Linked DNA regions of Elephas maximus indicus. The protein of the gene in region 1 purifies or fractionates together with the protein of each later gene. This does not show direct contact. Links are inferred from orthologs where the notes say so. Each region holds a gene or a part of one and is shown in the gene's direction. Other genes may lie near its edges. The genes, in order: MEPCE, PRPF3, SNRPD3 and SNRPN.

Region 1 (7,325 bases):
TGTGTCCCCTAAGTATCTTTGGCATTTTATAACATACATACATTACCACTTCAAAAAATGACTTTTTAAATTTTAAATTCTTTAAGTAAAATAAAAAAAGAGTATTTTAATCAACCTAAAATGCAAAACTTTCCAATATTTAGGCTCAAAATCTTATCTAATCCTGTACAGACCTATCTAGGCTAAAGTGTGCTTCTGGAGCCCCAACGAACTAGATAAAATTATGGATCGTTGTTGAATTAATAAGATGTAGTAAATCTATAAGAAGTGATGTATAATTAAAAAAATAATAACAAGTTGCCCTTGAGGACATCCAATTTCTTAGATTTAGAAAATCTATAGAGGGTTGGCTGTACAGAGACTACAGGCAGATTTATTTTATCAGCTAGTTTGCTGTTTTTATTTCATCTCTATTCTCTCTCTAATCCTTCTTCTCACTGTACAAGAAATGTTAATGGCATTTCAGTTTCTTTTGGTCATCTGTTAGATTCCATGTGACCTCACTCCCATGTGGCCTTACCTGATCAGATGGGGTGTCTACACCTGACCCAAGGGCAACTCATTGAAAACATGAGTACAACTAATTAGAGTACTTTGTTGGGAATTTAGAATTTGCAAAATTGAATACTAGAGTTATTATTGTTGGGAACTCCAGGCAACAGGTGAAGAGCAGTGTGGTCAAGTAGATCATGCAGGGTCAGAAGAGATGGAGCCATACATGCACGTGTAAGTGAACAGGCAGAAAGACAAACTGCAAAGGAGAATGGAGCATGCGGGAAGAGAGGATGAGAGACAGAAGAGGGACAGAATGAGAGGAAATAAGAGTGAATGTACACTTTTGGCTCCCAGTCCCTGGTCTCTGCTCTCTTGAGGTCAACTACACTTCAGTCTCTTTCTTTTGGTCTCTGTGAGATTCTTCTGAATCCTTGCAATAAACATTTTGTTTCTTATACCGAAAAAAAAAAAAAAAGTTGTCCTTGAGTTGATTCTAACTCACAGCGACCCCATGTGTATCAGAGTAGAACTGTGTTCCATAGGGTTTCCAATGGCTGGTTTTCCAGAAGTAATTGCCAGGCCTTTCTTCCAAGGCACCTCGGGGTGGATTCAAATTTCCAACTTTTTGGTTAGCAGCTTACTGCATTAACCATTTGCACTACCCCTTAATCTAGATTGGGGGTATGATGAAGAACATTACTTTTAAAGAAAAGCTCTAACCTGATCCAAAGAGAATGGAAAGCCAGAGAGTCACTTTCTGACACTGTTCCTCTGTTTCAGACGAATTCTTCCACAATAACAAATATTAAAAGCTAATAGAGAGAGAGAGAAAAAATAGACAGTTGACAAATATACAAAATGACTGTAGGCACTAGACTCCGGAATAACATTTGAGGTTTTAATTTGTTTTCTCACCTTAGATGAAAAGGTAAGGAAACAAAAAAATTCAACAAGGCTTTATGTAAGAAAGTAAAAGAACCAGGATAGTTCCATAAACACAATCTCACCCACTCGACATATAAAAGAGGGTGAATAAGCAGAGGGAAAGAACTTACAAAGAAATAATAAAAGAAGGGTGAATGAGGCTCTCCAAAAACTAGAAACAGCTTTCTTTCACTTAGAACACTAAAAATTATCACATTCATTTCTAAATGAAATCACCTAGCGTGGCGGTTCTCAAAGTACGGTCCAAAGACCCCTGGGAGACTCCTCCCTTTTCCAGTTATATATCTGTGTTAGGTTGGATTTTCTCATATACTTCAACCAAAACAAGATGTCAGGTTGAATACGGAAACATGAGAATCCAGCTGTCTTCTAATAAGGCAGACACAAAAGAGATTTGCAAAAATATAAAACAATGCCATTCTTCAAACTAAATTTTCTTTTGTTTTGGAAAATGTATTTTTCATTAAAAATGTTAATTATGGTAACATGTAATGGGTTTACGGAGCCCTGGTGGTGCAGTGGTTACAACCCCAGGCAGCTAACCAAAAGGCCAGCAGTTCGAATCCAGCAGTTGCTCCTTGGAAACCCTATGGGGCAGCACTACTCTGTCCTATAGGGTCGCTATGAGTCAGAATCAACTCGATAGCAACAGGTTTGGTTCCTTTTTGGTTAATGGGCTTATGATTGTTATTTTTAAATTAATTATTAAGTAAATATTTTTAAATTTTCTATTTTAATTTCTAGTATTTCAATACGAATAGTTATAAACCATATAAACAAAAGCTTTCTGGAGTCCTCCACAATTTTTAGGAGGACAAAAAGGTTCTGAGACCAAAAAGTTTGAGAATTGCTCTAGCTAAATAATTCAGTCTTGCAACATTTCTCAAAAAACTTTAATCCTCCTCTACCCCATTTAGAATGTGCTCAAAATTTACAAACAATAAAACTGTTCCCTCCTTATATTATGTCTGGAATCCTGGGTCTAAAAGAACAAAGGTAAACCTTAGAGTTGTCCTCTAACACACACTCCAGAGCCTAAAAGACATTAAAAAAAAAAAAAAGAAAAGCCTATATTTAAAGCTTCTTTAAGCCTGAGTCTAATTTTCTTCAGCCTGTATGTCTAATGGCATGTGTACTCCTGCTTATTTTCATGCCTGGATAACTAGTACTGGTTTTTATCTCTTTTTGTGCTCAACAGGCATGATCTGAAACAAAACTTTTTAACAAGAAAGAAAAAGAAACAATAAAGATTCCAGCTACCCTTACTGACCATTATACATGTAACAAGGTATTTACTGTCGCATCTAATAGTACCTGCCTGAACTAAACTTTGTACAGAATCTTATAAAGAAATTAATGGTGAACTAAAACCTCCTGATTCAGAGAGTGCAAGAGAGCACAGACATGGCCACTTACCATGGCCACTTATCACCAAAAGAATCTTTCGGGGACTGCTGATATCTTTTATATTCTTCCTACCACAGACGCACACATTTCCCAAACTGGTACCGACCTCAAACTAGCATTGTTGTACTTAAAGGAGCACATCCCCGTAAAACTCCCAGATCCCCACACCATTGCCCCTCAGAGGGTGTCAAGGTTTGGAACCGAAAATGCCTAATTCCCCCTTGAGAAACCAAAGACAAGAACTTTGAAGGATCTGTATTTTTGCTCTCTCGCCTCACCAATTTCTCTCAGGGACAGCAATGAAGACCTGACATATCGCACAGTTAAATATCCTTAACTCTCCTCAGAAAGTACTGTATAGTGGCTTTCTAGCCTCTCTTCCACATCAAGAATCCTACCAGGAGGGAATTTCTCCTCAGCTAACCCTACTGCTGAGGTATCAGGATTCTTATTCCCGCTCAGATCGTCGTTGCCCCCCATTACACTGTGGCATTTTTGTTTGTGTTGAGGGTGAGGTTCAAGTTAGATTCTAAAGCGGAGGGGTAAGAGCTGGTTGTCGCCCTGAAGAGACAGCTTCTCCTCAGACAACAGGTACTGGGATCGCCCGCGCCTAGCAACTGCATCTGCAACCTAAGAAGAGTCTAATACCTTCTAGAGCGAGGAGCACCTAAAAGCAAGCAGTAGAGTGAGCACCTGCAGCGATTATGCAAGCCCCTACAACCTGGATCCAGTTTTCCCGCCACGAAGAAAAGGCGCGAGGACGCGCACAAGCTCCACCCCCCCAGCGGCGTGCTCACGAGGCCGAAGCGCATGCGCAGCTGAAAACGGCTTCTGCGCTTGCGCGCGAATTATTGCCGCCATTTTCCAATCTGTAAAACTACAAGTCCCATAATGCTCACTGCTTCACCCGTGTTTTAGGAGGCGGTAGCAGCGCCTGATTGTTCCTGAAACACTTCTTTCTTCTATTATCTTTCCTTCCCACTCTGCCTTGTCCTTCTTCTTTGCTTTTCCTGATGCCTATTCTTCCTGTTAGGCCCCTTCACGACCTTATTTTAACACTTTCAGCCTATCCTTAGCCCCACTCTCCGCCTCTTCTCAGCCATAAGACCTGCATCCCCAAGCACTCTGTTGGGAAAGAAAACGGGCCACCTATCACCCTGTGGAAAGAGCGTCAAATAACTTTCCCTCATTGGCCGAGACAAGGGGCCCCAAAGCAGGCCGATTCCTCTTCTCCGCCCACACACGTTTTTATATAAGGCGGCGCGAAGCCGCAGCGTGCGTTTGGGAAGGACTGCGTGCGAGGTGGTGTTGGTGGGTGTACTGCTATTGGTGGGTGTACTGCTATTGGTGGGTGTACTGCTATTGGTGGCTGTGGTGGGCGTCGGGCTGGTGGGCTCGTGCGCAGGCGTCGGATGGCGGGCGGGGGCGTTGGTGTCCGGACTGTGGGTGTGGAGGCGGAGAGGAGGGCGGGGTGTACCTAGGTGATCGCGATTGGGGGAACGCGGAGGAGCGAGAACCACTCAGCCATTTCGGCACAGGAGGAAGTTGGAAAACCTTGGCTTTTTTAGTGTTGTTTTTCAGTCCAGCAGAGAGTATTTTCGGGGGAGGGGGGTGAGTTAAAATGATCTATTGCATATTACTGAGAACAGTTCGTAGGAAGGCGATCAGTACACTCCGATCCTTCCCTTCCTCTACCTTTAGGTTCACTCCTCGGCTCCCTCTGAAGCCCTAAGGGGATGGGCTAAGGGGGCAATTCGTTATGAATAATTCATGAGCCCGCCCCTTTTCTTAAGAAGCCACGCCTTTCCGAGCTGCGCTGACGCACGTTGCGTGTCCCAAACCTGAGGAAGCGACGTAACAGTCCCCGCCCATAGGACGGAGGGCGGGGTGTCGTCTCCAGCACGTGCTGCTTCTACCCGCGCAAGCCCAAAAGGGTGTGCGCAGGCGCTTCTCACTAGGGGAGGAAGGAGGCGGGGTGGGGAGGTTGTTGGGTTGAGCGCCGGGCGGAGACCGCTGAGACTCATTCCTCAGGAACAAGGGTCGTGTGTGAAGGAGACCTTTTCACACCAGCTCCCCGGCCCCCGCCTACGGTGGGTGGGATCGCGCGGCAGAGACAAAGGATATCAGTAGGGACGGACATAGCCACGAAGGGAAGTAGGGTGTCAGCTTGGGGCGGTGGGTTTTTGGGGGGCTAAGGGAGAGACTATATTTAAACTCCCTGGAGCCGTTAAGTTGGTTCGTACTCCGATGCGCGCGCAACCAGGGTGGTGGCGGTGTGCGCATGCGTGATTCTGGGGCCAGGGGAACGCGCTTAAGTAGTGCGCGCTCGCGATTAGGTGGTAGTGGTGGAGGAGAAAGGGGTCGGCGCAAGCGCGGTTGGTTTCTCGAGTTCGGGTCTCGCGGGCTTCTTGTTTTGGTCTCGCGGGCGAGCAGGGAGCGAGACTAGGCGAGAAGAGCAGAGCTGCGTGCGCACTCGGGAAAGGGGGGAAGGGAGCAGGGTCTAGGAAGGGGGGTGAAGCCCCCTGATCCCCCCTCGTTACCCTCGGCTGGGACGGAGTAAGGGGAGGAAATGATCGAGATGGCAGCGGAGAAGGAGCCGTTTCTGGTGCCGGCCCCGCCGCCGCCGCTCAAAGATGAGTCGAGCGGAGGGGGCGGCCCCACGGTGCAATCGCACCGAGAGGCCGCCTCCGGGCACCTCCGCGGCCGGACAGAACGCGGGCCGGGCCCCCGCGTACAGTCGGCGGGGGCCCCGGCTTTAGGGGTTGGCAGGGAGAGCCCCGGAGCTGCATCCGCCCCTCGAGCGGGCCAGTCGCAGCAGCAGCAGCAGCGAGGGGGCGGCCCCCAGGCACAGTCTCACGGGGAGGCCCGCTTGTCGGATCCCCACGGGCGGACCGCTCACTTGGACGTGGGGGAGGAGCGACGGGGAGGGGGCGGGCCAGAGCTGTGTACCCCTGCCCCTCCTCGGCCTCGTAATGGCTACCAGCCCCACAGGCCCCCTGGGGGGGGTGGAGGCAAGAGAAGAAATAGTTGTAATGTGGGGGGAGGTGGCGGAGGCTTCAAACATCCGGCCTTCAAGAGGCGCAGGCGAGTTAATTCGGACTGTGACTCTGTGTTACCCTCCAACTTCCTACTGGGGGGCAATATCTTTGATCCACTGAACCTGAATAGTCTTCTGGATGAGGAAGTGAGCCGCGCACTCAATGCAGAGACCCCTAAGTCATCCCCACTTCCGGCCAAGGGGCGTGATCCAGTGGAGATCCTCATCCCCAAAGATATTACTGACCCCCTCAGTCTCAATACTTGCACTGATGAGGCCCAAGTAGTTCTTGCCTCACCACTCAAGACTGGTCGGAAGCGGCATAGACACCGGGGACAGCACCATCAGCAGCAGCAGGCATCTGGAGGAAATGATAGCCACTCCTCCGTGCTTCCCCCAGCCCCCCTCACTCCTTCACTTCATGGGGAGGGCGCCACGCAGCAGCAGCAGCAGCAGCAGCAGCAGCAGCAACGGCATAGAGGCCAGAGCCGGGATGCCCCGCAGCCCTATGAACTCAACACAGCCATCAACTGCAGGGATGAGGTGGTGTCTCCCCTTCCAACTGCCCTACAGGGTTCCACAGGCTCCCTTTCAGTCCCTCCAGCTGCCTCAGTTACCCCTGCACCCCCGTCTTCCTCCTCTCGACATCGCAAACGTCGCAGGACTTCCAGCAAGTCGGAGGCAGGGGCCAGGGGTGGAGGCCAGGGTCCCAAAGAAAAGGGCCGAGGGAGTGGGGGAGGCCGCTACCACCACCACCCTCTCCCTGCAGCAGGCTTCAAAAAGCAACAGCGCAAGTTCCAGTATGGGAATTATTGCAAATACTATGGGTACCGCAATCCTTCCTGTGAGGATGGTCGCCTTCGGGTGTTGAAGCCTGAGTGGTTTCGGGGCCGGGACGTCCTAGATCTGGGCTGCAATGTGGGCCATCTGACCCTGAGCATTGCCTGCAAGTGGGGCCCATCACGCATGGTGGGCCTGGATATCGATGCTCGGCTGATCCACTCTGCCCGCCAGAACATCCGACACTACCTATCTGAGGAGCTGCGTCTCCCACCCCAGACTCCCGAGGGGGACCCAGGGGCAGAGGGTGGGGAAGGGACCACCACCATCCGGAAGAGAAGCTGCTTCCCAGCCTCGCTGACAGCCAGCCGAGGTCCCATTGCTGCACCCCAAGTGCCCCTGGATGGAGCGGACACATCAGTCTTCCCCAACAATGTTGTCTTCGTCACGGTAAGAGGGTCTTAAGTGCATTAACTCCTCACTAGGAGAACCAGATCCTCGAGAAGGGTCTGAATTAGCGAGTGAGTGCCTCCACTGGGTGTCTCTCCCTGCCTGTAACCTGGGAGAGGTGGGGTCTCTAACCTGGGGTCCTTTCTCCTGACTGCAGTTCTCTTTCCCAAGACAGTGGTTGACTCGTTTTGCCCTGCTTCCAGCCTGGGCT
Region 2 (7,110 bases), on another chromosome or scaffold:
CATAGTGGTTAAGTGCTATGGCTGCTAACCAAGAGGTCAGCAGTTCGAATCCACCAGGTGCTCCTTGGAAACTCTATCAGGCAGCTCTACTCTGTCCTATAGGGTCGCTATGAGTCAGAATCGACTCAACAGTAGTGGGTTTTGGTTTATATACTAACAGAAGCCCTGGTGGTGCAGTGGTTAAGAGCTTGGCTGCTAACCAAAAGGTCAGCAGTTTGAATCCACCAGCTGCTTCTTGGAAACCCTATGGGGCAGTTGTAGCCTGTCCTACAGGGTCCTATAGGAATGATGTGTTAATGTAGGTAATTGAAAAGAAAATGTTGGAGCGTGCACTATGTGCAGCTACCCTACATACATAATCTTTTGCTTAGTAAAAAAAAAAAAAAATCTGGATTTGTAATTATGTTGTTCAACATAAACCCTTGTTTTTCCTGTAAAAGGGGATAATGGTATTTACAGGCTTGTGAGGGTTAAATGAAATAATACATGTCAAGACTTAAAACAGTATCTGGCACATAGTAAGAACTCAAATGTTAGCAATTAATAATAATCCCCCAGTTGTGCCAGCCAGAAAGTAGATCCTTGTTTCCTCCTCTTCACCTAGTCATCAAACCAAACTCATTGCCATTGAGTTGATTCCAAATCATAGCAACCCAATAGGACAGAATAGAACTGCCCCACAGGGTTTCCAAGGAGCAGCTGGATTCAAACTACCAACCTTTTGGTTAGCAACCAAGCTCTTAACTACTGCACCACCAGGGCTCCCAGTCATCACCAACACCAGTTTATTTGTAATCTCTTCCAGCTGTCTCTGTAACTTTGTACCACAACTCTAATACTAGCTACCATCATAACTTTCCTGGATTACTACAGTCATTTGACTGGTCTCGGTGCCTCAGTGTTGCCTGGCTCCAGTCCATTCATAGTTTAGCCAGAATGATTATTCTAAAATGCAACCCTGATCTTGTCACTTTCCTGCTTAAGCTGGTAATTGGTTCCGCATGGCTTTCAAGATAAAATCCAGACTGTGGCATTTAAGGTTCCTCATCACTGAATCATACTTTTTCTGTAGCCATTTGCCCCATCAGACATACTTCTGGATCACAGCACATGCTATTTTCTCCTCTTCTGTTCTTCAGCTCTCAAACTGGGTATTCTCTGAGATGCCTTCCCTGGTACCTTTATCAGGTGCTGTTTTCCCTTTTGCATCTCGAGTTTATTTCTGTAATATATATGGGTCTGCCTTTATACCACTGTATTTCCTTTGCCTGGTATAATGCCCAGCATTTAGATCCTCAATAAATATTTCTTGAATATATGACAATTGCAGTTATCTATTGAGGCTTACCATGTGCCAGGCACTGTACTAAATGTTTCATGATACCTTTAATCCTCACAATACCCTTTGGGAAAAGAGATGATTATTCTTATTCTATAGTTAAGGAAACAGCCTCAGAAAATAATTGCCTCAACGAATCACAGCTAGTAACTGGGAAACAAAGGATTTAAATCTATCTGATTCCAAAAATTGGAAGTGAGTTCCTAGAAAAAAATTTCCCTGTGGGACTTCAACCCAGACTGTTAAAAACACTGAAACAAAATTAAAAATGTATAACTACTGGGCAAAGTTGGAACTCATTGGCCCATTTAACAGACTTTTTGAGTGGGTATTATGAGTGAGACATTGGTTTTAGGTGCTGTAGATACAATGAGGATGCTGGTGTGACTAAGTTGAGCAACATGTTCAAGCTCTCCCAGCTTGTTACTCAAAGCCAGGCTGCCCCATCAGGGAAGGTTAGTTTTGGTATTTCTCACTTTTAAAAACCAGCCTATAGATATGAAGATTTCATGCCCTGTGGGAAATTCTGATCATAACCTTCCTAGAGAATAACTGCAATTTCTGGTGAGCCTACCATCCAAGAAGGCATCATGGACTTTTAATTTCTATAGTTTGAATCTGGAAATAGATTGTTATTTTCATTTCTCATATGTGAGATTGTGTCATAATACTAGACACACTTTTTCAAACTACACTTTTCCCACACGTGCTTTTAGAGTCATTGGTTTAAAGGGTCAGTAGGTTTAGAGCCTCATTTGGAAGAAGGGGAAGAATACAAGCTTATTGACAGAATGAAGAGAGCAGTACTGCCAGGTCTTATTTATTGACTACTTACAAGGTCTGGCACTATCATAGATCCTGGGACTCAAAAGACATGGTACAATTCCCGTCCTGAAGGAAATTCCATCCTTTAGGCAAAAAATAGACCAGTAGGTGCTGGGGCCTATAAGACCAAGTGTTGAAAAAGATTTGGCCTTTGATTTTAAATAAACCAAGAAAGCCCAAACCCACTGCTATTGACTTGATTTTTGACTCATGTTGACTCCCATGTGTTACAGAGTAGAACTGCTCCATAGGGTTTTCTTGGTTGTAATCTTTATGGAAGCAGATTGCCAGGCCAGTCTTCCTTGGTGCTGCTAGGTGGGTTTGAACAGCCAACCTCTAGGTTAGTAGTTGAGAGCAAACCGTTTCCATCACCCAGGGATCCTCTAATTCAAACATTAAGTATTTAATTGTGCCAGGTGGTGTTGCAGGCACTTAGGCTGTATCAGTGAAGAAAACAAAGATCCCTGTCCTCGTGGAGTTTACATTTGAGTACCCCTAAATGGGGGGAGTGATGATAAACTCAGTTTATTATCGTCATGCTGAGTTTGAGATGTTTATTATACATTTGGAGCCCTGGTGGCACAGTGGTTAAGAGCTACGGCTACTAACCAAAAGTTTGGCAGTTCAAATCCACCAGCCTCTCCTTGGAAACCCGATGAGACAGTTCTGCCCTGCCTTGTAGGGTTGCTATGAGTCAGAATCAAATGACGGCAATGGCTTTCTTTTTCTTTTTAATACATTTACGTGTTGTTGCTATTAGCTGATGTTGAGTTGGCCCCCAACTTATGATGACACCGCGCACAACGGAATTAAACCCTTCCCGGTGGTGCGCCGTCCCACGGTCAGATAGTTGTGATCCATAGAGCTTTCACTGACTGACTTTTGGAGATAGGTACCCAGGCTTTCCTTCCTAGCCTGTCTTGTCTGGAAGCTCCACTGAACCCTGTTCAGCATCTAGTGACATGCAAGCCTCCAATAACAGACCGGTGGTGACTGTGCATGAGGTGCATTGGCCAAGATTTGAACCCAGGAATTCTACCACTGAACCACTATCGCTCTCTATGCTTACAGAGGCAATTGGAAATCTATAGAAAGAGACATTAGCCAATTGCGTACTACCAGCGAATGATACTCGTTTTGTTAATGAAAGGCATGGAGGGGGGCTACTTCTTCAGAGTCCTCTACTCATCTTTTTTCATGTACATATGTTTGTAGCTACCATTTATTGAACTCTGTGAGAACCACTGTTTTAAGTGTATTACCCTCATTTACTCATTTGTGAGGTGAAATTCTTTTTTTAAAGGTATCCCATTTTATAGGTGAGGAAATAGAGGACTTAAGTAACTAATATCATACAGCTAATGAGTGGGAGAGCTGGAATACAAATCCAGGCAGTCTGCCCTTAGAGCCCGTGCTCCTAAATCATTGATTTACTGACTCTCAGAGGGTGCCGGCACCACTTACAGTAATAGGCGGTCAACGAATGTTCTGTTAATTAATTAATTAAACAAAGGGCTACATTCTGCCGAGTCCTTCTATACTCGTGTTTCTTCCCTGTGATCTCTGGCACGACTGTAAATTAGGAGGAAAAGCTAAGGACGGGTAGCGAATGCCAGTGATCCCAACTTACTCAGAGGGTTTACCTTCTACCGGAAAGGCCGTGTTTGAGCCAAACGCAGAAGTCCCTCTTTCAGTTAACTTTAGCTTAGCGCACTTACACTCCACACGAAGAAAACTGCTAGCAGTCCCATTTCCGCTTCAGGGAACTAACTTCTTCTCAATAATCTAGTGAACAGATAAATATCCGAATCCTTTAGCAAGGGAAACCGAAGGCGAGGAACTGGCACTCGCCACGCATGCGCCCTGCCGCCGGCAAAGTGGCAACTACGGCTGCGCATATCGGCGGCCCGGCCCACCCTCGTCACATGTCGGGGACCGCGGCGTGGCGGCGGCCGTGGCGGTAGCGACGGCAAGTCGTGCGGCGGCCGGAGGGTTTCCGGTTCCGGTGTAACGTTCGGGCTCCGTCTCAGGGACTGAAGTTTGTGAGGTGAGTAGTGGCCCCGGGCCCAGACAGAGTATTCTCCGGTCCGAGCGACTGGGGTCAGGGCTCAGCCCAAGAGTAGGACCGGGTTAGGGGGCTCAGCGGGAAAGAGGCTGAGAGAAGCACAGGTTGTGTGGGAGACGAGGTTGCAGTGGGATTGTTGAGAGGCAAAGGGCGGGGGCGAGAAGGGGACGGGGTGGGGAGACCAGCTCTGAGCTGAAGACTTTGGGTATAACTAGGTGTGATAGTGGGTCGGTTGGAGTTTACGCCAAAAGAGGTGGGGAAAGACTAAAAACAGAAGAATGAGGATTTCAGGGGAAACTCCGATTGTAGCAAAGAAGAGGACAGAGTAAGGAATTCCTTCAGAAGATTGGAATCTGCTACCTGCTCATGCTGGAATCATTCTTCCTTCTTCCTTCCACACCCCAAACCCTACCCCCACACACGTAGTTAATGTATATTTGTCTAGTGGTAAAGCCAGGTACTCTTTGAAATTTTTATTTTTGTCTACTAGCTGTTTCGTTTGCACATCATTTTATGGAGGATTGGGTTGAACTTGAATACATTTGTTATTATAGTGCTTGGCCGTGCGTTTCTTCTAATAATAACGGTACCTCACTTACTGCTTGGAGCTTTCAAATTGCTTCTGCTTTCTAGCCTATGATTCAGTTGTAGTGGAACGTAAGCTCCGTTAAGGTGAAAATTCTTACGTGTTTTGTTCACTGCTGTATGCTCAGTGCCCAGTACACTGCTTGGCACTTAGAAGTTGCTCAGGAAATATCTATTGAATGAATTAAGTATGATGGAAATATGGCAATTGTCTTTATTTTGTAAGATGAGTGAACTAATGCTCAGAGGAATTAACTAATTTGCCCACGTGCTAATGGACTGGTAAATGTGGGGTTTGGCATCCCAGCTGTTCAGTTTCTTTCTGTCCTGCTGAGCTTTTTTCTTCACTCTCACACCCAAAGATATGTACCCTTTGTGATACCTTGGTATGCCTCCAATCTTTTTTTTTTTTTTAATGGACAATTAATATGTAGATGAAGGAGCCCTGGTGACACAAAGGTTAAGCACCTGGCTAACTGGAAGGTTGGCAGTTCCAACCCCCCCCCCCCCCCCCGCCGCCCAGTGGCTCCTTGGGAGAAAGACCTGGAGGTCTGCTTCTGTAAAGATTATAGCCTAGAAAACCCTATGGGGCTGTTCTCTGTCACATGAGTCAAAATCGACTGGAGGGCACCTAACAACAACAACGTGTAGATGTTGATAGGCTATACTGCTATCTCATTGTGAGAGAATAGAGCCACCATGGAATTATTCATTTAACTTGTTACTGAAACACATACTCTGCTTTTATACAACCTTTCTCTCTTAGTTTCATGACTGTAATCTACTAACTTATTTTGGTTATACCAGTTCACTGTTTGGCTAGAGATCTTATAGAAGGTAAATCTACCAAGGATGCAGAAGTTATTCAGACTGTATCTTTTAAGAGAAAAGACATCTTAAAACATCTTGAACGTCCAGGTCAGACCCTGATGCGTGGTGCTGCTGGGAGGAGGTTAGCTTGGAAATTGAGGTCAGTGTAGTATATTCACTGTTTTCTAAGCGCAATGGGAAGAATCAGAAATAAAATTTTGTCTATGTTCATGAGGAGTTTTGAGATTAGGTAGAAGACCGAAATGTAAACATGAATGATGGTTTAAAAATAAACTAACTTACATTAATAAGTTAAAGATTTGTTGTGGAGAGCTGCAACAACTCCGACTCTACGAACTTTATTATAAATGGGGCAAGGTGGGCAAACCTTACTCATGACCAGCTACTTCAGACGACACTTCCTCTCTCTGACTCTGACCACTCAGGCTTAGATCAGACCCCGTCCCCAGCCACCCTGAGCCAGTCAAAACATCCCTGGACACCTAAGGCCAGGTCACAGAGGACCAGCCGTAGGCTCAGGAGTCTGCACAGTTCCCTGCACTTCAGACCAGTATGCCTCCCTCTTTCTCTGTCTAGTCCACTGGGACTAGGTCACAAGCTAGAAGAGCTCTACTCTTTTTCATCAATTGCCCATGCAGCCTTTCCATGAATACCAGCCACCCAAAGCTGGGACTACACAGACTGACTCCTTGCCCCTGTGGGTTTATTAATTCTGTATAACAACTCACAAAGTTCACAGAGACTATCACCTATACTTACAGTTACCCATTTATTAGAACCAGAAAGGATACAAGCAAAGAGACACATCAGTAAAGGTCTGGGAAGGGTCCTGGCGCAGGGCCTATATAGTCCCCAGGGACATGTCACCTTCTCCAGTTCATGGACATTCTCACCAATCTGGGAGACTCCAAAGAGTGCACTCCAAGGTCCTGGGTCCCCTAGTCCCAGGGGGACTCAATGAATATGCATGGGTCTTAATATAGTCCCCAGGGACATGTCACCTTCTCCAGTTCATGGACATTCTCACCAATCTGGGAGACTCCAAAGAGTGCACTCCAAGGTCCTGGGTCCCCTAGTCCCAGGGGGACTCAATGAATATGCATGGGTCTTAATGCATAGTTGTGATCATCTAATCAGTTAATATGCATCACTGCATCAGTGCCTCCTCCCTTCCTGAAGTTAGTTTGCCAGGTGTGAAGCTTGCCAGGCTGTTTTGGAAAACAAAGGCATCTTGATTACTCGGGTGATTTTCAGAAACAAAGTGCCAAACCAAGTTTTTTTTTGTCCTGCAAGAGTCCTTTATGATAGTGTTTTCTCTGCTGAGCTAAAAAGTAGAATAGAGATGAAAAAGAGAGTACACCCAGAATGAGAGTATTTGTTTCTTAGCTGAGGGATTACTCTGATCAAGTCAGCTGTCAGAGACCGGGTAGAACATGAGAGAGAATTGTCTGGTGCAGAATTCCCA
Region 3 (7,348 bases), on another chromosome or scaffold:
CAGCAGGGCATGGAGGCCAAACTGCCACACACCGCCCCCTTGCTGAGCCGCCTGACCTGCCTACTCTGTGAAACGGCCACCACAGACCCCAGCCCATAGAGTGCTGTGAGCACCCAGGCAGGAATATGTGTAAAGCCCTTTACGGGTGCTGCCCTGACCCTACCCCCAGCTAGGGCCTGGTGCGTTGAGCCCATGGGCTTTTCAGTGACTGATTTTTCAGAAGTCGATTACCAGCCCTTCTGAGGCACCTCTGGGTGGATTCGAACCTCCAACCTTTTGGTTAGCAGTGAAGTGCATATACTGATTGCACCCCAGCAGCTCCACGTCTACCCCAGGTGCCTTTGAAAGGAGCCCAGGCCTCTGCCTGAGGTTCTCACATGCTTGCCTCCTTCTCCTTCCACGGATTTAGTCCTGCCTGATTCCTGCCTGTCCTTCACCCCAAATTCCTCCCCCAGCCCCAACTCTGTCTCCACACACAGCTGCCTGGGGAATCCCATGCAGTTTCCCAATGCTCTTAGAGTCCTCTCCTCTTCCTGTGGCCCTGCCCACCCAGGCCCCACCAGCCTCATTCACCCTGCTGCAGTTACTCTGTGAACCCATCAAGCTTCATCCTGCCCAGGGTCTTTGCACATGCAGGGTGCCCTAGCCTAGAACTCTCTTCCCCCGGCTGTTCTCAAGGCTGCTACTGCTTGTCATCAGGTCCCAGTTCAAAGTCTCCTCTGAGCAGCTTTTCCTGACTATACCTTTTGAGGGCAAAGGGGGGACCCTCCTTCATAGCATCCTCTTTGTTTCACATGGTACTTATCAAACGAAACTAAAAAAAAAAAAAAAACTATTATCTGTCTCCCCACTAGACTGTATGGTTGCTGAGGGAAAATACCTCACCTCATCTTGTTCACTGTTATTCCCAGTACCTGGCATCCGATGCTTAAGATCCCTGGGTGGCGGAAATGGTTTGTGCTATCCTGCTAGCAGAAAAGTTGGTGGTTTGAACCCACCCAGCAGTACTGTAGAAGAAAGACCTGGCAATCTGCTTCGGTGAAGATTAAAAATCCAAAACCAAGCCCACTGCCGTTGAGTTGATTCCGACTCATAGCAACTCTGTAGGACAGAGTAAGAACTGCCCCATAGAGTTTCCAAGGAGCACCTGGTGGATTCGAACTGCCAACATTTTAGTCAGCAGCCGTAGCACTTAACCACTACACCACCAGGGTTCCCTGGTGTAGATTACAGCCACGAAAATTCTATGGAGTGGTTCTACTCTGTGACACATGGGGTTGCCATTAACGACAGTAACAGTACCTGATGCTTAGGAGTAACTCAATATCTGTTGGAAGAAATGAACTTATTAAGCACTCGCTGTGTGTCAGGCTCTGGGGACACACGGGTGATTAAGACTAAGCCCTGCCTCTGAAGACTCATATTCTAAAATAAGTATGCCCCACATGGGCTGAGGGGAGGGTGCAAGCTCTATATAGGGTGCTGTACAATCATGGAGGAAGGAAGGTGCCTCCCTTCTCAAGCACCCCTCGCTGTGGCCACACACCACCTGTTTTTCTCTGCACAGGCTGTTTATGCCTAGCCTTTGCACTCAAGGGTGCCTTAGTCTGCACCGTTCCTCCCATCTTTGAACATCTGGATACTCTGATTCCGATCCCCTCCAGGCCTCAGTGTAGAGTACCTGAGGTCACACCCACCTTCGCCAGCCAACAGCCTGAGAACACCTCAGTGGCAGGCAGGGAACCTCTGCCCCGAACAGGTGTTCAGACATACTTGGGGAAAACCAAAACCAAACCAAACCCACTGTCATCGAGTCAATTCTGACTCATAGCGACCCTATAGAACAGAGTAGAACTGCCCCATACAGTTTCCAAGGAGCACCTGGCAGATTCGAACTGCTGACCTGTTGGTTAGGAGCCGTAGCACTTAACCACTACACCACCAGGGTTCTCCATACTTGGGGAAGAGAAGGCATTTTCCTGAGATGCCTGGGGCTGCTTGTCACTGCAATGATTTCCTGCCCCCAGGCTTCCAGACCACTGCCCTCTGCTTAAGGCTGCCTCCCTACTTTGGTTGGCACCAGCTCTGGCCACACCAGCTAGGCCATCTGTGGCCAGACCTCCCCTGTGGCCATGCTTGGCAGCATTCTCTAGGGCCCTGGGAGTCTTAGCTACCCCTCCTCCTCATGCCCTGAGCTCCAGAACCCTTGATCCTGAGGCCCCAAAGGGCCAAAACCCCAGGTGGCTGTCCCCAGCCTTGGCCCAGGCAGGCCACTCTATAGAAAGCTGGAGGTGATTTTCTGCGTGTGGTGGGTGGAAGGATGATAAGGGCAGGCAAGACCTTGGTTTTTGTCCTGATAACAGCTTCAGCCCTTCAAGCCCACAGCCACTACCAGATGTTAATACATGGCACCAAGGAACACCCCAAGAGCTGGGCCTGCTTGGAGGGCCCTGGCATCAGCTGGCAGCTGTCATCAGAGAAGGGAGGGCGCTCAGTGGCCCTGGGTGCTCACCACCTCTCAGCCTCAGTCTGCTCATCTGTAAAACTGGGAATAACAGCAGCAGTAGCCTCCTTCATGAGGTCATCATGAGGATTAACGAGGTACTGCACATACACCACTCAGCACAGTTCCCACCTCATAGGAAACCCCCTATAAATATGAGCCGGGACTCGCTCAGGCTCAGGAAAGGCAATGTCCTGCCCAAGAGCGTAGCTGAGCTAACTGGAGAGCAGGGCCTACACTCTGCGGCAGCATCAGACCCCTGCTCCACCCTGCAATAACAAAGGCGACCCCTCCCTCGTGTGAGGACACCATCCATGACAGCTCAGGGCCAGTCCCATATGCTTTGGCCTCTCCCTGAGTTGGCACCTCTTCTCAGCAGAGCAGGAACCACCGCACTCCCCCACTATCCCCTTCTCAGACAAGCAAACTCAGGCCGCGGCACTGCCCCACCAGTAGTGGCCTCTGCTTCCCCAAAAGGCCCCCTTAGGGCAGAAGGAACCAAGGGTGAAGACATGTAGCAAGAAAAGAGCTGACCACAGTCTGAGAAGGGGAAGAGAAGGGGCGCACTCGCTCTGTGCTCCCGCCCAGTCCCCTGCCCTTCTCTGAGCCTCAGCGTCCTCCACAGTTCCCCGAGGGGACACATCTTCCACGCGTCTCCGGCTGGACTTCCCGCTTCTAGGCAAGGTGGCGCCCCGCCTCACAGCCGGGACCGGCCCCACCCCGCCCCACGGCCGGGCGACAGGGGCCTCAGCTCCGGGAGGACAATGAAACCCCGACTGGCAAGTGGGGCTGGGGCGGGGTGTCCAGCTGGCCCCGTCCCGTCCGAACTCCAGAGCGCTGCCCAGGCGGCAGTCCGCCCAAGGTCGCGCGGCCGGACCCTCGTCCCCCGGGGCCAGGGTTAGGCCCTGGGGAGGCACTGACCGGGTTCGAGCGGCGGTCCCGCTGCCTCCGCCTCCGTCCTCATGACCCGGGCGGCGCGGGGCGCCCATGGCCCCGACCTGGCGCAGGCTACCGCTCGGGCTGGGGCGGGAGCGCGGCGGCGGCGCGTCTGGTCCGCGGAGGGGACAGAAGGCGACGGTCCGCGGCCCCGAGCCCCGCCCCAGCCCTGCCTGGCAGCGGCCCCGGACGCCCCGCCCCCACCTGGGCCCCGGCTTGGAGGCCCAGTCCCTTCCGTTCCCCAGCCGCCTGATCGAAGCCTGCCCCGGCCATTCGCTGTCTCGCCTTCTCTTGACCCCGCCCCTTTCCCTAGCCCTTGCGCCGACGCACAGGCCCGTCCCCGCGGATCCCCGGAAGCCCCACCCCTTTCTTGGAGCCCCGCCCCGAAGGCTGGCGCTCTCCCTTAAGTCAGGCTCCGCCCCTGTGGGCCTCCCTCAGGTATAATCCCTGGCCTGCCCCTTGTTCCGCCGGGTCTCCAGGAGACCCAACCCTACTCCGACTACTCTATACCTCAGTTTCCCTGTCCATATAATGGATACCTCGCCTCGCTCGGGGCGCTCCTTACCGGGCGGTGCCGGGTTCCAACGGCTAACTTGCGAGGGCAGGTCCTGGCGCTTAGTCCCACAGCCTGCCGCCCCCGATCCGAGAGCCCAGGCCCCGCATCTCCGCCTTGCCGTCCAACTCGGCCTTGGTGTGGGGTGCCTGGAAGCGCGAGCTCCCCTTTCCCCTTGCCGGCCCGAGTATCGGTGTTTCCGGCGGCACCCAGGCCCTGTCATCAGCACGCTTTTTCGGGGCCGGAACTATAGTGCCACAGCCCGCGTTTCCCATCCGGTTGGGTGAGGAGGCAGCCGAGGCGAGACAGCGCCCACCACCGGAGAAAGGAAGGGGGCTGGCCTCGCGCGCGGCATTCTGGGAACGCGGGGTCTTCTGGGAGCGCGGGACCGCCATTCGCTCGCTCACGCTTTCGGTGCTGCTGAAGTCGCTTGTCCACGGAAGAAGTGGAAGAGGAGGCCGCAGCCGGTGAGGAGAGGCCGGGGACGGGTGACGGGAGGCCGAGGCTCCCGTGAGGGGCCGGGGCTGGGGAAGGACGCGCTGCCTTGAAGTTCTGCGGGCCCCTGGGAGGGAGGAGAGGGAGAAGCCCGGGGCAGTAGCGTCACCTCACTCGCGCCTGGAAGTGGGTTTATTGGCTCCTTCCAAAACTACATATTTATCCTTTTTGTACACCTCTCCATGTCATTGTTTTTTTTTTTCAGTATCCAGAAAATAATACTGGAATCGTTTCTGAGTGATTACCTCCTTTACCCCAAATCTTGTTTGGAGCTTCCTTTTCAAGGTTTTTTCACTTCGGATCATCTCCTGCTTTCCACGCTGTTGCAGAAGTTTTAAATGCTGCTACGTGTTCATTGGGTCATTTCTTCGCATGATTCTGCAGTGGTTCTCTCTGTCTTCAGCATAAAATCCAAACCCCTAAAGCTAGAACTCAGGGATTCTCACCAAAGGAAACCAACTTTTCCAACTTCATGGTCCCTTTCCGGGGTAGCGTTGAGTCTCCTGGAATCCCTTTCTGTTCTAGTCTTCAGCCTTTGTTCATTGCAGATTAAAAATGTTTGATGCTTTTTTCTTTTAATAGGTCCAGTCAGGTGCTTGCCCTGGTTGGCTTTTTTCTATAAGATAAACCTTTTTGCTTATAGCATGTCACTTTGTGAACTCTTCGATATTTTCTTTTTAGCTTCAGTGGTGATGTAAATGGGGTGCCATGGGACACTAAATAGATTGACTTAAAAGCATAACTTCCTCCTAAATTTGTTGGTGGATCTTTTGGTCTGCGTTGTCCACTGTGGTAACCACTAGGCACCTGTGGCGTTTTGAGCACTTGAAGTATTGCTAATGTGACTGAGGAACTGAAATTTTAGTCGTATTTCATCTTTTTAAAGTTCTAAGTAGCTACATGTGGACTGTGGCCACTGTATTGGGCAGCTTGGGTCTGTATCGTAGGTTCTCAAAGTGCAGTCGCCCACAGCAGTGAGTTGGCAGGTACGTTTGTACAGTACATGCATTCACTCCCCTCCCTCCTGTAATATTGGCTAATGGTCATTTGGAGAAGATAAAGCGATCTGGTAGTGAGGAGGGAGACGGGAGGCACTCTCTTCATTCCCCTTAGCCTTTTCTGCCCAGCCCCACTTTTCACCCTACCCCTCATCTTGCACTGTTTGCCAGATAGTTTTTTCCAAAGGAGCTAAACACCTTTTTCAATAGCTCAGGAAATACAGCTAAGTTTTATGGAGTGCCAGACCCTGGTGGTGTAGTGGTTAAGTGCTACGGCTGCTAACCAAAGGGTTGGCAGTTTGAACCTGCCAGACGCTCCTTGGAAACCCTATGGGGCAGTTCTACTCTGTTCTGTAGGGTCGCTATGAGTCGGAATCGACTCGATGGCACTGGGTTTGGTGTTTTTGGTTTTTAGGCCCTGAAGGAGGCATGTGCATGCTATATGCCTGTTCTGGTTCTGAAAGATGAACTAACTGTTGTCTCTCTCACTGCAGAGTTTTCTTCCTGCCAAGATGTCTATTGGTGTGCCGATTAAGGTTCTGCATGAGGCTGAGGGCCACATTGTGACATGTGAGACGAACACCGGTGAGGTATATCGGGGGAAGCTCATCGAGGCAGAGGACAACATGAACTGCCAGGTACCTTGCTTTGCATATGAGACTGAAGGGGATAATGTGAGCCTGTGTTGGAGGACAAAACTGTGGTGACTAGAGCGCCTTCTTGAAGTTGGTCTCTTTCAACAGTTATTACTGAGTGCCTTATGAGTACCAGGCCCTCTTACAGGTACTCAGGATGTGGACATGAGCAAGAGACTTACTGTCTCGAGGCAGAAATGGTGTTTGGAAATTTGGAATATTTACTTGTCCTTTGTTTTCTCCATTCCATAATCATTTTCTCCCATATTTTGGGGGCTTTTTGAGATAAATGACACTATTCCTTTCAGGTTCAAGGCCATTATTAAGGCATGACATGTTACAGTTAGTAGCATCTCCTACTCACATGCTGTATTTACTTGCCATCTTCTTGGAGAAGGGGTCCCATTTGATTATTGCATCAGTTATTGTGAGGTAGGCAGGTTTGGTAATAGTTTTGTCATCTATGAAAATAGGATTCGTCTACTAAATGTCACTCCATTAGTATATGATGGCATAGCCTCCTGATCTGGTTCAATTCCCATGACACAATTTGCCCTTTTTCTCATAATCGTGATATTAGAGTCATTTTACGAAGTATAAAACAGCCGGTTAAGAGCATGGACTTTGAAATCAAAGAAATATGGGTTTGAATCCTAATTGTATAACCTCAGGTATATTAATTACCTCAGTTTCTTCATCTGTAAAACAGGGGTGATGTTATTTCGGGCCATCTGAGGCACAGACACCAAGGTACAATTAGATATGCAAGAGATTTATTGGAGGAAGTGACAGGAGAAAAGAGAGGAAGCAGGAGTGGGCAAGAGAGCCACAGTCTGTCGTGCAGGCCTAACACTGGTGAAAGAATAGAGGGAAGAAAGGATCGAGTAGGAAGAGCCTGGGGCTACATTGTAGCTCTGAGGATGATTCATAGCCAAGCATAGATGACTCATTTGAGGAGTCTGGCATGGGACAGAAATGGCCTGGCTCTCGTACCCCTGCCGTAGGAGCAGTCTGGGGAGAGTAGCCTTGGGGTTTATGCAGTGGTGGGTCTCAAAGGTGTGACACCCAGAGGCCATCAGCTCCGTGCACTCCTCACAGCCTGTTCTCCCTCAAAGAGAGATCTGAGCATCTCAGGGCTGTCACAAGAATAAGCCTGAGCCCATGGCCTGTTGTCAGGACCCGATGAGCTGTGTGTGCGGCAGCTGGTGTGCTGCCTCTCCACCTCTTG
Region 4 (6,834 bases), on another chromosome or scaffold:
GAGTATTCCATTCAGTGAGGTCCACATGTATTGTCACCATTTTTGTTGTTGAATAAAGGTATTTGCAATGAATAATTCATTCTTGTAAAAGTGTATCATGAGATCTCTGTCACCGAGGCCAGTTCTCCAACTACCAGTACTTCTTTGTTTTCAACTTTTTCAGTTACAATCACTAGTAATTATCAGTGCATCTTTATTACGTGTTTGATCAATTTCAGACAGCAGAAGATAGAAAACCAATCATAATTCTTCAGAAACTCAATGCAAAAAGGCTGAGTTCAGCTCCAGAGGCTATTTACCTGGAGTGACAATGTCAGGACCCCAGAAAAATGGAACAGCACAAAGATACCCCTGTGGCACAGAGGTCTGATTTGGTGATGTCCCAGGAGATTACAAAAGGTGATGCCTCCGAGCCTGTTCGGGTGCTGTTTTATGTCTAAGCGTAGTAAACACTTACTCTGTTGAAGAAAGGAGATTTATTGGTGGTTCATTAACAGTCTGGCCTGGATAAAACGTCTGATTTTACAGAGTGAACAAATACTTCCAAAACAGTGAAGCTGCAGAGAACTTTTAAAGGATGAGAACAAAGAACTTGAGGTGCACTATTTTGATTGGACATTACAAACTTAGATTAACGCAAGGTGGGTTTACTGAAAGTGGGGGCTGTGGAGGTTTACAGGTCCTTTTTCTACTAGAAACACCTGGCTTAAGTGAAATTTTTCTTGTCAGTAGTTGCCTAGGAGACCCAGAAGAGAGTCAGCATCAAGGTCTTCTTCCTGAGACATTGTTTCAGGAAGGGTCTTGATAAACCCATTGCTGTCGAGTAGATTCCAACTCATAGTGACCCTATAAGGCAGAGTAGAACTGCTCCATACGGTTTCCAAGGAATGCCTGGTAGATTCAAACTGCTGGCCTTCTGGTTAGCAGCTGTAGCTCTTAACCACTACACCACCAGGGTTTCCTAACCACAGAGAAAAGGGGGAAAAGAAAAAGGTTTCTTTAGTTTACATTTAGTTATAGGCCTTAAAGAATAAGTTAGGGGTTTGCATATCTTAAAGGCAAGATGGAGTAGGACCCTGAACGCTAAAGCAGCCATTTTACTTTAGTCAAGTGCCTCAGTTTACTTTTTCTTACTCAATAAAACCCACTGCCGTCGAGTCGATTCCGACTCATAGTGACCCTATAGGACAGAGTAGAACTGCCCGATAGAGTTTCCAAGGAGCACCTGGTGGATTCGAACTACCGACCTCTTGGTTAGCAGCCATAGCAGTTAACCACTACGCCACCAGGGTTTCCTCTTACTCAATAAAAACCTTAAAGGTTTCTGTGGTTACTTTTTTTTTTTGTCTTTCAAATTTAGTCTTAGAAAAGCTATATCCAGCTCTACTGGTTTCTTTCAATAACTTTTCTGTGGCACGCTGGTAGTATGTCTCCATTGTTGGCGGCAAGGGAGCGTGGTCAAGGAATAGTGTCTCGGTGGTTGTGCTGATTTTTTTCCCCCATCAGTGGCATATGAAAGTAATAGTTTGAACTTTGTACATTATTTTAAGTTATTGACCTTATTGAACCCTTTAAAACATTTTGATACATAGCTTTCAATACCATAAAATTACCAACTGTTTGTATGATATTATTGTGATAAAATATATATAACAAAATTTGCTATTTTAATCATTATTAAATATATGTCAGTGACATAAATTTTATTCACCATGTTGTGCAGCCATCACCACTATCCATAAAATGTTTTGCCTCACTCCAAACAGAAACTCAGTACCGCTTAAGCAATAATGCCCCAATCCTCCCTCACTCATACTTCTGGTAATCATTGATAAACTTTTGTCTCTGCTTTTGCCTATTCTAGATATTTCACAGAAGTATGTATAAATCTAGACTTGTTAGCTAATTTACATCTTTGGGCACCAATTGCCACAGGGTAATTTTAGACTATTTCCATCACTTCATTAAGATCCATCATGCCTATTTTCAGCCATTCCCCATTTCCACCCCCAGCACCAGACAACCACTCATCTATTACTTTGTCTCTAGGTTTGCTCAGGGTCCCAGGACTTAATAGATACAGGGTTATAAAAATGAAGAATTAAAAAAAAAACGTGCTGTATTTAAGAAGAAAAGGAGGATTGAGTTTTATATATAGGTGGTGGTGTTTGGACTCTGCATTATAAAGAATTTTAAGGCAATATTCAGAACAAAGATGTTGTAGGCTTTAAACGAGTTTGCGTCAGATACTGCATTTGAGGGTCCTCAGGCTGCTGATTAGTATACTCGTTTAAGTATAAGGTTCATGTAAAACGTTAATTCATACAAATATTGGATTCTTCCTGGGTGCTAGGCATTGAAGTGTCTGGAAGGACATAATTCTTACACTCTTGAGAATATAAGCCTGGTTGATTGGAGAAGAGGTGTGTATAGAGATTAGTCAGACCATGCGTTAAGATATGGACAGATCATCTTGCAGGAAATGTTCCAAAAAGAAGCAACATCAGGAATTTGTTTAGGCAATCCGAGTTGTCATAAAAATTTATTTAATAGATGTAAAATTTTGGAAATGAGAAGGAAAGCATCTTTCCTGCATCTCATCACCATTAGTGAACTTTTACTTTGATACTACATTCTCTTCTGTTCTGTTACCATATAGCTCCACGTGACAGTGTCCTCAAAGCATTATTTCTCTGTATTGTTTTGATGTTTCTGTAGTTTGTAACCACACTTTAATTAATTTTAACTTGTATATGTAACCAGTTTCTTTTTTCTTTATTGTGGCAAAATAAAACAGCTGTCATTTCAGTCCTGTTCACATGTACAATTCATGACATAGATAACCAGCTTACTTTTTCTTGATTTTAGTATTTCTGTATTGAAAACAATGAAGGTATAATATTATTGGAAATGGTTGCCTTGTTAAAAGTAGTTATATCAGATTTTGTTTCTAATGCTGTGCTTCTTTTATGCATAAACCTAAACTTCTGTTAAAAAGTATGTCTATGGTTTTTTTTTTTAATAAGTCACAGCTTGAGGCTTTGTTATAACCAGTTCAGCCTAGATTTCGTAGCCGTATATGGAAGGCGCATTTTTAGAGTAACAGGGAAAAGGATAGCTTATTGTTAAAGTGTGTGTTTCTTTGGTGACTATGGAAGTTGCCGTATTCCGATATATCGACAATTAGTTGTTTGCACCCTTTTGACGTAGGAAGTCTGAAGCAGGTATGTAGTAATAAACCTGGCTCTTGGTAAATAAAGATTAGCTAACATCATTTTGATGGAGCTGTAGGGAGTGAGGGAACATTTCAATTGAGAACATTTAAGTGAGTTATTAGGTGGTATGGCCAAAAAACAAAACAAAACAAAACAACCAACCAACCAACCGTGAATGTTTGAACTAACTTAGGGGTAGTTGGGATGGAGAAACTTGATTATCAAGATGTTGATGTAGAGGTGACTCGGTATTAATTTTAGACCAGAGAAAAAAATGAATCAGTAGCTTAAATAAGGATGGAAAGAGAAAATAGTAAATTTTGGGAGTGGATAATGAAGCTGATTTTTGGCACATTTCTAGGCAAAATAAAATTAAATGAGTTTTGTCAAATGTGATAGTTAATATGAGGGAATAGTGAATTTTTTCTTGGTGGTTGTGGGAACATGGGAGTAGGAATATTTTTGAATATGTCTTTTGTGGTTTTCATGCAAAATTATCTGCCTGTTGTAAACATGGTAGATGGTGGTGCAGCTTGAACATGCTCTCCTCCGCAGGCTCCGTCTGCTGTTTGAAGCTTCTTCCCAGCTGGCATTGTTTATAGGAGAACCACGTCATACCTTTATCTGTAGCCTTCCCCTAGGTCTTAAGGTTCCAGAAACTTTACTGTGAGGACATTGGATTTGGTGGAACAGCAATCATGGTAAGATGAAGATTAGGAGAGAGGGGTGGTAAACTGCTCTAAGGGTTTGCCAGAGTGTGGGTTGATTTTGGGTTCTGAATGTTAAAAATCAGAAGTTTGTAGAAATGGATTCTCACTGAATTAGGGTAGTGGCTGAAGATAAGTAATGTGTGATGTTCATGTTGTAGTAGTGAAAAGGATTGCAAACCATTTTGCTGTGAGAAAATACAGAAGAGTTTTTGGTTGTGATTATAATTGTAAGAGACCATTTGAAGGTAGACTGTTAGGTCAGATTACAGTATATGTAACATCTACTTTGAAAATGGAGAAATTTGGGGCTCAGTTAGTATAGATGAAAGCAGTCTGGAGAAAGATACAGTATCCTAACCTTATTAGTACCTGTTGGTGTAGAGTTGATTCCGACTCACAGCAACCCTATAAGGACAGAGTACAACTGCCCTCATAGAGTTTCCAAGGAGTGGCTGGTGGATTTGAACTGCCAACCTTGTGTTTAGCAGCCAAGCTCTTAACCACTACTCTACCCTATTAATAGTAAAAACAGAAGCAAAAAACAAAACTTGGAGAGGAGAGAAAAGAGATAGGGTCAAGTGTCTGTGAGAGGGTGAAGTTTGGCCATGATTTGGGAAAGGAATGGGATTAGAATGATGGAGCTATAGAGGGGAACTGGATTCAAATGTAGACTATTGTCTTGAGTAGGTGTGAAGGAAATTGGGGAAAGGTGGAGGGATTTGGTCAGCGAAAGAAGTCAGTTTCAGGTTGGTATAGGAGTGGGAAAGAAACCCAAGTGGCATAGAAAAATAGGCTGTGAACAAGCTGATTATTGACTCTCATTTTACTCCTTGCAGACCGTGGGCAAGAGCAGTAAGATGCTGCAGCACATTGACTATAGAATGAGATGTATCCTGCAAGATGGCCGAATCTTCATTGGCACCTTTAAGGCCTTTGACAAGCATATGAACTTAATCCTTTGTGATTGTGATGAGTTCAGGAAGATCAAGTAAGAAAGACCTGTTTGGGTAAAGAATATGCAGGTAGAGGCAGTGGGAAGCCAAGGCTAGAGCAGGAGTAAGGGATTATAGAGGGTAGTTGAAGGAGGTAGGGAAAAAGTTTCTAACCCTTCGGTGTCATCTTCAAATAGCTGTAGAGGCTCCCAGTCTCAAAGTTTTTATCGCCATAGAACTATTTCTAATTTGCAAAAAGACTTTCCAAGGAGCGCCTGGCGGATTCGAACTGCTGACCTTTTGGTTAGCAGCTGTAGCACTTAACCACTACACCACCAGGGTTTCCTGGGTTTTAAAATAATGAGGAAAAGTGATGTTTGACTCCTTGTGCTTGTTGAGGACAGTTCTTCTCAGTTAAATTTGAATGAACAGAATTCATGACATTTTCATTGTCGTCCCCCTTTCATTTATTTCCAGTCTCCTTCCTGTACCAAGGCCGATCATTCCAGAAGTGCTAGGATGGTGGATGCCTCAGTTTTATTTTTACTTTTTTTGTTTAAACCACCTTTATACTAAAAAGCATTAAAAAACCCTTATGATATTGATAAATAACAAAGAAGGTATTTGAGAGCTTCGGGCATATTCTCAGTTTCTGTTTTTCATTCCTTTCTGACCAAGTCGTGGGAGTAATTATACCTAGTTAATGCTTCAGCTTGCATTATTCTCTGGTAATACCTAATGGGATTTATTAAATGGCATTGTAATTGTAATGGTTCCTTTTACCTACACAAAAAAAAAAAACAATGCGGTTTAAACCCCATACATGTATGCAGTAGACATTAATCTGATTTTTCCTGCTTACATTTGAAGAAACTAGGATAGGAATTTAATTTTCCAAAGTTACACAGTAAATGGTAAGCTCAGGAATACACAGGTGTCTCTGATTCCAAGTACTTCCTTACCATTTTGTATGCCCTCTTTTGCCTATTACTGTCTTATTCATTATTTCAGTTCCATGATATGTCAATAAGATTTACCTAGTTAAAAAAATGATTTAGAAATTATTGCCCATCTTAAAATTATATAGAGTTAGGTTTCAGTTTTGACTGTTTTAAAAGGCTTACTGTGTCATTGCATTTATTTTACAATGAAGAAATTAGTTTTGCTGAAGTGTAATATCTAGAGAACATTCTTTAAAGGGCTGAAGCTTAATAGAAGAGCTTCAGCACTCACCTTGCTGTACCTAGTATTTGCATATCAGCTGAGTCTAGGTGTTAATTTTATCACAGCTCAGTGACTGTCTTATGTTTAAATAAGATTCTTGGCATCAGTTATTGTCTTAATTTTTACTTTGTGATACACATGTAAGTTATGTAAAATAATTTGAGCTAGAGATACTAACTTACTTCACGAAAATTTGCTTCTGATTTGTAGGCCAAAGAATGCAAAGCAGCCAGAGCGTGAAGAAAAGCGGGTTTTGGGTCTGGTGTTGCTGCGTGGGGAGAACTTGGTTTCCATGACTGTGGAGGGGCCACCCCCCAAAGATGTAAGATGTAGGGTAGGATGGAACTTTCATGTGGAAGAGCATTGCTTTATTGGAGATGAGAGAGGCACAGTACAGCACATCTTCGTCAATTAAAACGTGCTTAGCACTTGATGTCAGTTCTTTGTATTTAGAGATTAGGGTTTTATGATAAATTATTCTTCGCACCGTGTAGTACCTAGATAAGCATAGCAGTTGCTTATTTACTTTCTCATTTTATGGTCATAAACATACATGTTTTGACAAATATAATGTACGTTCTAGGCATCTGCAAGATGTCTCCAAGGTGCACTTGCCCATTTTTTCCTTTGAGTAAAGAACCAAAATGAGATAGGTGGAATGGGAACAGGGTGAAGTTAATCAGTGTACGAGTGAGAGATTACGACAATTGAGAATTTGGTTTCAAGTTGTAAACTTTTGTTTCAGACTGGCAT

Evidence for each region.
Region 2: the proteins of MEPCE (region 1) and PRPF3 purify together in Homo sapiens (affinity purification with mass spectrometry; 4 studies listed by BioGRID and IntAct, counting the BioPlex papers as one, with this or other methods). This does not show direct contact. The link is inferred for Elephas maximus indicus from reciprocal best matches to the Homo sapiens genes MEPCE and PRPF3.
Region 3: the proteins of MEPCE (region 1) and SNRPD3 purify together in Homo sapiens (affinity purification with mass spectrometry; 3 studies listed by BioGRID and IntAct, with this or other methods). This does not show direct contact. The link is inferred for Elephas maximus indicus from reciprocal best matches to the Homo sapiens genes MEPCE and SNRPD3.
Region 4: the proteins of MEPCE (region 1) and SNRPN purify together in Homo sapiens (affinity purification with mass spectrometry; 3 studies listed by BioGRID and IntAct, counting the BioPlex papers as one, with this or other methods). This does not show direct contact. The link is inferred for Elephas maximus indicus from reciprocal best matches to the Homo sapiens genes MEPCE and SNRPN.

Annotation. Positions count from the first base shown.
Region 1 is NC_064830.1:91,844,862-91,852,186, forward strand, and holds the start of MEPCE (7SK snRNA methylphosphate capping enzyme), read left to right. Parts: upstream 1-4,317; 5' UTR 4,318-5,416; coding exon 5,417-7,114; intron 7,115-7,325. UniProt on the Homo sapiens protein: S-adenosyl-L-methionine-dependent methyltransferase that adds a methylphosphate cap at the 5'-end of 7SK snRNA (7SK RNA), leading to stabilize it.
Region 2 is NC_064821.1:184,451,455-184,458,564, forward strand, and holds the start of PRPF3 (U4/U6 small nuclear ribonucleoprotein Prp3), read left to right. Parts: upstream 1-4,105; 5' UTR 4,106-4,211; intron 4,212-7,110. UniProt on the Homo sapiens protein: Plays a role in pre-mRNA splicing as component of the U4/U6-U5 tri-snRNP complex that is involved in spliceosome assembly, and as component of the precatalytic spliceosome (spliceosome B complex).
Region 3 is NC_064840.1:23,012,572-23,019,919, reverse strand, and holds the start of SNRPD3 (small nuclear ribonucleoprotein Sm D3), read left to right. Parts: upstream 1-4,332; 5' UTR 4,333-4,459; intron 4,460-5,979; 5' UTR 5,980-5,997; coding exon 5,998-6,123; intron 6,124-7,348. Other genes in the region: protein GUCD1, read right to left, coding at 4,005-4,215. UniProt on the Homo sapiens protein: Plays a role in pre-mRNA splicing as a core component of the spliceosomal U1, U2, U4 and U5 small nuclear ribonucleoproteins (snRNPs), the building blocks of the spliceosome.
Region 4 is NC_064831.1:99,699,302-99,706,135, forward strand, and holds the start of SNRPN (small nuclear ribonucleoprotein-associated protein N), read left to right. Parts: upstream 1-3,824; 5' UTR 3,825-3,913; coding exon 3,914-3,916; intron 3,917-4,761; coding exon 4,762-4,913; intron 4,914-6,291; coding exon 6,292-6,403; intron 6,404-6,826; coding exon 6,827-6,834.